2 linked regions of the Caenorhabditis elegans genome follow. The protein of the gene in region 1 interacts with the protein of each later gene in a pairwise test. Each region holds a gene or a part of one and is shown in the gene's direction. Other genes may lie near its edges.

The links.
Region 2: the proteins of rmh-1 (region 1) and top-3A interact in a two-hybrid assay, tested with the Caenorhabditis elegans proteins (one study listed by BioGRID).

Annotation. Positions count from the first base shown.
Region 1 is NC_003279.8:5,571,569-5,577,499, forward strand, and holds rmh-1 (RecQ-mediated genome instability protein 1 homolog), read left to right. Parts: upstream 1-1,645; 5' UTR 1,646-1,674; coding exon 1,675-1,935; intron 1,936-1,981; coding exon 1,982-2,436; intron 2,437-2,515; coding exon 2,516-2,651; intron 2,652-2,717; coding exon 2,718-3,228; intron 3,229-3,325; coding exon 3,326-3,835; intron 3,836-3,908; coding exon 3,909-4,055; intron 4,056-4,106; coding exon 4,107-4,396; intron 4,397-4,454; coding exon 4,455-4,589; intron 4,590-4,647; coding exon 4,648-4,707; intron 4,708-4,751; coding exon 4,752-4,847; intron 4,848-4,889; coding exon 4,890-5,069; 3' UTR 5,070-5,181; downstream 5,182-5,931. Other genes in the region: cey-3 (CSD domain-containing protein), read right to left, coding at 388-757, 804-1,114, 1,233-1,349; klp-15 (Kinesin motor domain-containing protein), read right to left, coding at 5,625-5,931.
Region 2 is NC_003281.10:11,957,178-11,962,127, reverse strand, and holds the start of top-3A (DNA topoisomerase 3), read left to right. Parts: upstream 1-1,947; 5' UTR 1,948-1,959; coding exon 1,960-2,103; intron 2,104-3,417; coding exon 3,418-3,578; intron 3,579-4,567; coding exon 4,568-4,696; intron 4,697-4,774; coding exon 4,775-4,950. Other genes in the region: Y56A3A.28 (C2H2-type domain-containing protein), read left to right, coding at 1-175. UniProt on the Caenorhabditis elegans protein: Component of the BTR double Holliday Junction dissolution complex, which is involved in homologous recombination during meiotic double strand break in the germline.

The DNA of each region.
Region 1 (5,931 bases):
TTTCACACTATCAGATGGTTGGAGAAAACTCAAATTATTTTATTGCTTATCGCGGCAAATTTATACCTTTAGCAAACATCGAATGGAAATACCTACGCTAGTTTTTCCAAAGCTAATTCTGAAATTTCCGTTTTCAAAAACCTAACTAGATGAAGCTCGAGAACCGTTTAGAAGTAAGAATCGATACCAAACAAATTAGATCGTAATGCGGGTGATGAAGAGAATTATTTACTTTGCCGACTTTCGGTTTATTATAAGAACACTTCTCTTTACAGGCTGACACAAAATAACAGATTTGGGGACATAAAAACATGCAGGAAACGGGGATCTAGAATTCTGTGCTATATAAATAAGTACAAAAGATTCAGGAACACAAAGCAATGAAATTTAGATCTGAGCATCAATCAACTGAGCACCAAGGCCAGCATCGTCGAGAGCAGAATCGCAACGATCGATCTTGGAGAGTCCAGCTTCCTCAGAGATGATCTTGGTGCAGGATTTCGAGTCCGGAGAAGCAGTTTCGGAAGAGGTCCCGAGAGATTCAGTAGTAGCAGAAGAGTCGGCAGCATCACCTGCTCCCTTCTGGTCCTTCTGTTTGCGGTTTTTATTCTTACGCTGCTTTCTTTGCTTCTTTTTCTCCATTGCTACTGCCGGAGCCTCGACAAGCTTTTCAGTTTCCTTTGAATCAAAATCCTCTCCAACAACGATTTTCGGTTTACGATTCTTACGGAAGCGAGAGAGAAGCTGATGGCGATATCTAAAGTAACTAGTTTTCCAACTTTACTTGTCAATCAATAACTCACTTCGATCCAGAAACATTCACCCCGGCTGGTCCGGTGACATTTGCAGCCTCAGGTCCATTCTTACCATCGACCAGATCGAAGAGCACTTCCTCCTCATCGGCAAGTGTCCGAAGGTAAAATTTCTCAGTGTCCGATTTGGAAATAGCTGTTTGGTGAACGAAGACATCCTTCTCTCCATCACTACGGGAAATGAACCCATAGCGACGAAGTACAGAGTACCACTTCACCTTTCCTTGAAGTCCAGCGGTAAGAACAATCTTCGCCTTCTGCTCCTCCTCCCAAATGCGTATGCGCTCGGCAGCTGGCAGACGCTAAAAATCATAAAATTGTAAATGTTGTACATTAGCACGTCATGCATCATAAAGAAAACGAACTACTTCAAAACAGTCAATGGTAGTTCCCAAAGAAGTGAGTTTTAAAAAAACTTACATGCTTGCTTGTATCATCCTTGCTTGGCGATCTTTTCTTGCCGATGGAGAGATCGTCGAGTTTCTTTTCGATGACTTGCTCATCTACTTCGACAGCAGTATTCGCAGTGTCCGACATTTTCGCCGTAGTTGCTCTTAGCACTTGAGGTACTGAAAAACAAGACTACATTGAGTGACTGAAGCTTCAAGGGTCGACGGCGTGCAGAAGAAAAGAAAAAAGTCGAAAAATGACAGATTAAGTGATAAACGCTCGCGGGCCTGTGGTCCCGTACGACCGTAACCAGCGTACCTGCACATCAAACATTTGGCGGCGCTTCAAGGTTTTAAACGCATTTCTTACATTTTTTTGTTAACAAATTTGTTTTCTTATTCAATGTTACACACATTTTCATTATTTTTTGTTGGTATTTGCAGAGCGAACGCATATAAAAACTACAAAATATATGAAAGAAACTGAACTTGATCGTCTTTTCTCTTGGCTTGCTAGGAAACATTACCCATTCAAGAGAGAATGGCTAAGAATATGCGTCCAGTATATCGAAGGATCACTCGGACAAAGAATTAAAACTGTTGATGTGAAGCAGATTGGTGAACTTGTCATACAACAGTTTTTGAATTCAAAAATATCCGAAGCTTTGGATCCCACCATGAAAATCCCAACGAGCGCAGTAAAAGTTGTCATTGTTAAAAGAATGATTTTCCAGGTTATTAGTTTGAAGATCTGCCGAAAATCAACAGGAATATTTTTAGGTTATTTCCTCCACGAATATATCAACATCCTTGTACGAGCAATTGTCAGAATGTACTCGACACAACGAAGATTTGGCTTGGTTTCATGGCGGATCCAAAGCTGATCACGAAGAAGAAAATCGCGACAAAGAAAAAGATGTGGCCTCTGATCGCATGAATCATACGCAGACGAAAAATGCAATTAAGAAACGAGGAATGCTGAAAATTGAGCTCACCGATGGTGTGAATACTTTGAAAGCAATCGAGTTAGACGAAGTATTTGATGAAAAAATTATGCTACCCGGTGCAAAGATTATTCTCACAGGAAAAGTTAAATGTCGTCGTGGAAATCTTCTACTGGATAAATCTAATTGTGCTTTTCTGGGCGGCCGAGTGGAATCACTAAGTTTTGATAAAGTGGCACAATTATCAAATGCATTGAAGGTTGACTTAGACGCGGAGAAGAAACGAAGAAAGTAAGTTATCACTTAGATACATTAGAAATCAGACATCATCTTAGCTTGATTTAATTCTTCTAGTAAATTCAATTTTCAGAGCATCTCTGGAAAACGCTGCTGCTTCTGTATCACGAAATAACAAGAAACAAATAGACAAGAAAAATCTTTCCCTTAATCAATCATCGCTTTCTCCATTTTTAGTCAAAACAAGTCGAATAACGGGAGAGGTCACTGTAAGTATTTAATCTAGTTCCACTACACTTCTTTCAATGGCTTAAAAACAGTTCTGAAAATTACAGGTTCCGGTGAAACAGTCTTTGGTGCCTACTGCGTCACGTATTCTACCATCTTCCGTAGCAGTTATTCCCAGCATTCAAATAGAGAAACCAACAGATCCTATTGAAAATTGGGATTTTTCAATCGAAGAAGTTCCGCAAGAACCAACTCCAGAACCACCAAGTCATCATGTACGGGGCCTTGTTGAACATTATCCATTGCGTTCAAAACCACAAGATCCGCTCCCACCACCTCCAACGAAGCGTTTATCTTCATTAATAATTGATAAAAATTCGATTTCAAAAGTGTCCCAAAACATTTCAAATCAGGTCGAGAAAGGTCTACTGCAAAACAAGACGATCGAAGATTGGACTTTCAATTCGACAAATTCCTTTGACAAATCTAAAAAAGTTATGTCTATTGATAACTCTAAAGATCAAAAAATGAAAATCAAGGAACTTCCTGGACAACTAATACGACCGACTCCAATCGAAAAACCTATAATCGGTGATCCTAGAATGAACAGTGAGAAACGTAAGTTAAAACAGAATAAAATATAAAAACCTTTCAGCTATAATATGATCCTCTTAACAACAACTATACCACAAAAGTTTCAGTAAAAGTTTTCCAGGCAAAGATGTTTCCGTATGGGTTTGGGAAGATCGGAAAGGATCAGAAGAGGAAGACATTGCGGCGAAAAGGATCAAAAAGATAGATTCAGTTATGGAGATTCCATTATGTTTTGTGAAGGAAACAACTCGCCAAGCGAATCGAAGTAATGAAGAGAGTCGTCATAAATTAAATACATTTGCGCAAACAATTCATGGTCCTCGTAGCAAGATTGACGATTTTCGAGTCAAATCGAACAATGTTCCCGTTTTCAAACAAATTACAGATCACTTTATAACTGTGAAAAGTAATCCTAATTCATTCACATCTTCTACGCGTCATACACCACCTCAAATGCCGAAAGTAGTCGATTTTGGGAATTTTGAAGATTATGATGAAGATTATGAAGATGAAGTTCTGCCAACATCTTCGTTCCGAGATCAATTAAAACAAAGAAAAAGTCTAGATAATCATGGAGAAGATGTAGTCTTAGAAGAAGAAATGGATCATGTAGATCACGATGAATCTATAAGTGAGTTGTTTTTTAATTTATCGGAAAATTTAACTGATAATCTCGTGATATTCAAAAAAATATTTATATTCAGTTGAATGTACAATGGATCATGAGGGACGTTTGGAATGCGAACGATGGGGATTGCGTGGAAGGGAATCGAATATTATTGAGGATGATAAACGGAATGTTTACAATGGATATAATATGAATAATAATATAGAACGTGACAATAAATACGGTAAGCTATAACTGTCTTAATCAATCATCTGACATTTTGGAAAAATTTCAGATTCTTCAATGAATGGAATGCCCCAGCCAAATCTCCAGCATCCTCTGTCAATTCTTCCTCCTCCACCAGTCATTCCTCCTTCACAGAATTGGAATTATACAGGATACTACCAAGCTCCGCCACTTAGGAATGTAATAAAAAGCGAGACGGTGGATTCTGTTGTACCGGAGGACCAGAAAATGGTTGGAGCTCAGGGAAAGAAGAGACCAAATGTAAGACAAGAAAATGATAATATGAAAAACAAACAATCGGCGAATGTTCAAGTTTATAGGACACCTTTTGCTGAAAGGGTTTGTTTTTTTTTTCAGAAAAATCAAAATTATTTTCAAAAAAAGAGGTTTATTCTAGTTGAACAGTGGCGATTCATCTTCAAAATTGTCGCCCCAATTATTCCAACGAATGGCTGATCTGCAAATCGTACCATTCGGCGATGCACTATTTAATCGAAAATTCTGGATGATGTCAAAAATTGTAGTCATTATGGTAATAGCTGATATTCTGTACGAAGTAACAAAAATTCTAACATTTTCTCACATTTCAGCCAAGTATCTGCAGTCAAATACACGAGTTACAATCTGATGGCATCGATTGGCTACTACAGGTATATTGTCCAAATAATTCATTTCTAAATACTTTATTTTCCAGATACGAGTAACAGATACATCAGTAAAAAATGTTATCTGCCGCGTTTCCACGAGCCTTCTAAATCGAATTTTTGGATTTGATGTTCAACAGTGCAAGGTTACAAAATTAATGTGCTATTCGTAAACCTTTTTTTTTCAGAATTTATTCAACAAAAATCAAGTCGAGGAGCTACGTGCGAAGAAATGCGAAGCCGAACGTAAACTTCTTGGATTCAAACGTCTTGATCTTCTTTTATGGGTTGAGGTTTCACCAGAGCGTAACCAAATTCCGCTCATTCTTGACGTGAAAACGATTTCTGATGCTCTCAATATTTTGTAATTATTTCTATTGCTTGCTACCTGAATTCACGTGTACCACAATATAGTCATGTATTATTTAATTGTTCTTGTTTTTTTGTTGTTTCCAAATACAATACAACTGTTTTAAGCTTTTTCTTTCGTTAAAATTTCTTTAAAACAGAAATGTAACAAAAAACATAAATTTAAACAAACTGTATGGAAAACTGTACAGTTTTCGATACAACGAGAGTTTGAAACTACAGTACTCTTTAAAGGGTCATGCCATTTTCGAATTCATCAAAAGTTCGTCGGGTCGAGACATACATACTACAGTAAGAAATGTAATATTCTCATAAAGCTCAAAACAATGTATTTATAACCCAATCAACAGCATTTAGACCGGACTATATTTTTCCTATCGGGATCTCCCTTTGTTTTGAAACAGACGATTAAAACTCAAAAAACGCAAAGTAAAATTGAAATTCGTTCATTTTGTTAATGATCGAAATATTTAGGTTACATCAGTATAAAAGGTTTGCATAAGGCAATAAAAATAACGTTATTTTACATGAAATGTTAGAATAGAATTATATGTCTAGTTCATAGACATCTGGGACACGTCACCCAAGAGAGTCCGTTGCTGCACGGCCGATCCGATGTTAGTACTGCGCATCTTTGAGGCGAATTCGATGCTTCTCTTGGACTCTGTCGCTTGCTCGTTGCATGGATTGAGATTGACCACAACCATAGTCTTCGAGTTGCCACGTCCCAAGCAGTCCATCAGCACTTGTGTCAGTTTGCTGTCGCGATATGAAACATGTCCCTTCTGGGATCTTTGCTGGCTGATGCACATCTGAAGGATAGACAACGACTGGTTGATATTAGTCATCTCCTTGAACTGG
Region 2 (4,950 bases), on another chromosome or scaffold:
CGTTCGAGTATCCGTCGCGGCGACACGCCGACGGCAACTTCGAGAAGATCATACTTATATATCGGCTGCCGCCGCATCCACTTCAAATGAGCCTTATGTAGAAGAAGAGGAAGAGATTATAGAGGAAGCTCCAATTGGAGACGAAGATGATGAAGAAGAAGAAGTTTATGAATGAAAAATGTCACATTGCACCATTTGATTTTTTAAAAAATATTTTTTCTGAAATCATTATTATTTTCAGATTATTCACATGATTTTCCATACTTTGTTATTAGACTCGAAACTGTCTGAAAACAACGAATTTCATAGTGAAACTTTTTGAAAACTTCTCAAAAAAAAAGTTATGACGGTTCAAAAAATGACCCTAAATTAGTTAAAATTTGAAATTTGACCGTCTTGGAAACTAACTTTTTTGAAAAATCACCGTCTAATTTTGGCTATACAAGTTAATTATCTTGCGTTTTCAACTCGATTTAGGTACATTTAAATGGTTATCAATTCGCAAAATTTTTAGTAGAAGTTTTGGTAAATTTCGAAAATTTCCAAGTCAAAGAATCAAGTGAATAGCCAAATTTTGTGGTAATTTGCCACATTTTTTGGAATATCGCCAGTTTTTTTTTGTTGAAAAATTGCCACAAAAATTGAAAATATGCCAATTTTTTGATAAAATGCCCAATTTTTCAGTCAATGTTTTTTTTTTGAAAAATTGGCAAAAACAATTGAAAATATACCAATTTTTAGAAAATTGCATAACTTTTCAGTCAATGTTTTTTTTTTGCTCAATTGCCAATTTTTTTGAAAAACTTTCAAGTATTTGGTAAATTGCCAAATTTAAAGTTAAATTTCCAAAATGTTTCCCAAAATTAGACGGTGATTTCAAAAAAGTTAGTTTCCAGCCGCTCAAATTTCAAATTTCAACTAAGTCATTTTTGAGCCGCCATAACTTTTTTTTTTGAGAATTTTCCAAGAAGTTTCATTCTGAAATTCGGTGTTTTCAGGCAATTTCGACTAAACCAATGAAGAAAAATATTGGAAAAAACATGGTGCAATCGACCTACTTGAGCCGACATGCAAAAGTAATCACATTCTATTTTTTTTTTTCGAATTGTTCACATTTTTCCCTGAAAACCCCCACCCCTCTCGTACATGTAATATCATTTCACCGTAATCACCTCATACAAATGTCATTTTTTAATGATAATTCTCTGCTTTTTTTACCGCAATTGTGAATAAATTTCAATTTTTATGAAAAATAATTTTTATATGTTTTGCAAGTTTTTGTTTCAGGTCTTTACACCAGATTTATTTGATTTTTTAAAAAGATTTTTGGAAAAAAATTTTTTTTTTGAAATTTTTTAGGAGAAAAAATTGTGATTTTTTTCGAATCAAATTTTGAAGAAATTATTATACAATCATTAGAAATTTTAAAAAAAAATAATTTTTTTATTGGAATTTTTTTTTGAATTTTTTTCGAAATGTTTTTTTTTTTAATATTTTTTGTTGTTCAAAAGTTAATTTTTTTCCTAAAATTTAAACCACTTCCAAACCTAAAAATAACCATATTAACAAATCCAACAAAATTAAAAATATTTTAAATTTTCTCAAAAAATTTTGAAATTTTTTTGATTATTTTTCAAAAAAAAATTTTTTTAAATTTTTTTGGAAGAGCATTTTTACAAATAGGGGAAATACACAAAATATCATTTGCAAATGAGCACAAAACGTTTTAAAAAATTAATTAATACTTTCAGAAAAAAAAAAGTTTTTTTCTGAAAGTGTTTTGTAATGTCGAAATACTTAATAAAACATTTTTGGAAAAAATCTCAAATTTTCAATAAAAAATTTTTTTTTTGAAATGTTGAAAAAAAAAAATTTTTTTAACTTTTTGTGAACGCTCTCAACGCTCTCTCTCATTTTTTAAAACTGAAAAAAAAACATAATTTTAAGCTCAAATTCCCAATGAAAAGAGCCTTATTTGTGGCCGAGAAGAATGACGTGGCAAAGGGAGTCGCTGCGATTTTATCAAATGGAACAGCGAATCGACGAGAGGGGCGGAGCAAGTTTAACAAGATTTACACGTTGAATACCGAGCTTTTTGGACAGGTACCAGCAGTCATTTGGCTCTGAAATACCCAAAATAGTCTAAAATCCGCAAAAAATCACTATTTAATCAATTTTCGGTAAATAAGAACTGCGACCAATCAGCGATTTGCTCCGCCCACTTTTCAACCAATCAGGTGAAGTGGGCGGGGTTAGGAGGTGTTTGAAATACCCAAAATAATAGTCTTAATTCACCAAACGCCGCCCACTCCATCTGGTTGGTTGGAAAGTGGGCGGAGCGAATCGCGCTGATTGGTCGCAGGTTCAAAAAGTTGGATTTTTAAATTTTTCGCTATTTTTTTTCGGTTTTTTTGTGATTTATACGGAATTCGAGACTAGTTTGAGTATTTCTAAGCAAAAAATCACTATTTTTATCAATTTTCGGAAAATAAAAACCGCGACCAATCAGCGATTCGCTCCGCCCACTTTTCAACCAATCAGGGGTAGTGGGCGGGGTTAGGAGGTGTTTGAAATATCCAAAAATAGTCTTATATAAAGAAAAATCCACCAAACCCCGCCCACTCCATCTGATTGGTTGGAAAGTGGGCGGAGCGAATCGCGCTGATTGGTCGCAGGTTCAAAAAGTTGGATTTTTAAATTTTTCGCTATTTTTTTTCGGTTTTTTTGTGATTTATACGGAATTCGAGACTAGTTTGAGTATTTCTAAGCAAAAAATCACTATTTTTATCAATTTTCGGAAAATAAAAACCGCGACCAATCAGCGATTCGCTCCGCCCACTTTTCAACCAATCAGGGGTAGTGGGCGGGGTTAGGAGGTGTTTGAAATATCCAAAAATAGTCTTATATAAAGAAAAATCCACCAAACCCCGCCCACTCCATCTGATTGGTTGGAAAGTGGGCGGAGCGAATCGCGCTGATTGGTCGCAGGTTCAAAAAGTTGGATTTTTCAATTTTTCGCTATTTTTTTCGGTTTTTTTGTGATTTATACGGAATTTAAGACTATTTTGAGTATTTCTAAGCAAAAAAATCACTATTTTTATCAATTTTCGGAAAATAAAAACCGCGACCAATCAGCGATTCGCTCCGCCCACTTTTCAACCAATCAGGGGTAGTGGGCGGGGTTAGGAGGTGTTTGAAATATCCAAAAATAGTCTTATATAAAGAAAAATCCACCAAACCCCGCCCACTCCATCTGATTGGTTGGAAAGTGGGCGGAGCGAATCGCGCTGATTGGTCGCAGGTTCAAAAAGTTGGATTTTTCAATTTTTCGCTATTTTTTTTCGGTTTTTTTGTGATTTATACGGAATTCGAGACTAGTTTGAGTATTTCTAAGCAAGAAAAATCCTATTTTTGCAGCAAACCGCAATTTCGGTGACAAGTGTTTCGGGACATATGATGAATTTCCAATTTCACGAGAATATGTCGAATTGGCAAACGGCGTCGATGGTCGAGTTGTTTCGAGCTCCGGTTCGGCATGTTGTCACACCAGAGATGAAGCTCATCGAGCAGACATTAAGGTTAAATTTTACGGGGGGGGGGGGGAAGGCAGGCATAAAGTAGGCAGTCTTTTGTTGGCGCGTAGGCGCGTAGGTAGCCATAAGGTGAGCTTGTAGGCAGGTAGGTAGGCATGAGAAATGTATCTATTACTTGTAGGTTGGCGAAAAGGCGCGTAGGTAGGCAGGAGGTAGGCGTGTAGGCAGGTAAGCGTGGAGTAGGCGAGTAGGCGCGTAGGTAGGCAAGCATACGGTGGGCGTATAGGCGAACGTATACTAAGATTAAGGTATTGATGTAGGTGGGCATGATGTAGGCGTCTAGGCAGGCAAGCGTGGAGTAGGCGTGTAGGCGCGTAGGTAGGCATGAAGTAGGCGTGTAGGCAAGCGTGGAGTAGGCGCGTAGGCAGTCATAGATTAGGCGTGTAGGTGCGTAGGTAGGCATGAAGTAGGCGTGTAGGCGAAAATTTATACATGTAGATAGGCGTCTAGGCAGGCAGGCATAGAGTAGGCGTGTAGGTGCGTAGGTAGGCATGGTGTAGGCGCGTAGGTAGGCATGATGTAGGCGTCTAGGCAGGCAAGCATATAGTAGGCGTGCAGGCAAACTTATAGGAAGCTTAAGGTATACCTGAAGGTATACATGTAGGTAGGCATCTAGGCAGGCAAACATTGAGTAGGCGCGCAGGCGCGTAGGTAGGCATGAGGAAGGCGCGTAGGCAGGCAAGCATACGGTGGGCTTAAAGGCGAACGTATAGGAAGCTTAAGGTATTTTTGTAGGTAGACATGAAGTAGGTGGCTAGGTAGGCAAGCATTGAGTAGGCGCGTAGGTAGGTATGAGATAAGTGCGTAGGCAGGCAAGCATAGAGTAGGCGTGTAGACGCGGAGGTAGGCAAGCATACCGTGGGCGTTCTGGCAAACGAATAGTAAGCTTAAGGTATCGATGTAGATGGGCATGATGTAGGCGTGTAGGCAGGCAAGCATATAGGTTCTTTATAGAAATTTTTGGAACTTTTCAGAGAACAAGCCCAACGACACGATATCCTGGTAGTCTGGACAGATTGCGATCGAGAAGGTGAAGCAATTGGCGCTGAAATTGTTAAAGTTTGCAGAGATAGCAACCGGCGGCTGGATATTTTCAGAGCGAGGTAACACAAAACTCTGAGAATGCGTACTACACAACATATTTGACGCGCAAAATATAAAATTCCCAAATTTTATTATAGATTCTCCGAAATCACAAAAGCAGCCATCACACGAGCAGCTCGGAATCTCATCCGACTCGACGAGAAGACCGTTGCCGCAGTTGATTGTCGAAGTGAATTGGATCTTCGAATTGGATCCGCTTTTACAAGACTACAGACGTTGCATTTAAGGAATCGATTCAGAGATTTACTGGGGC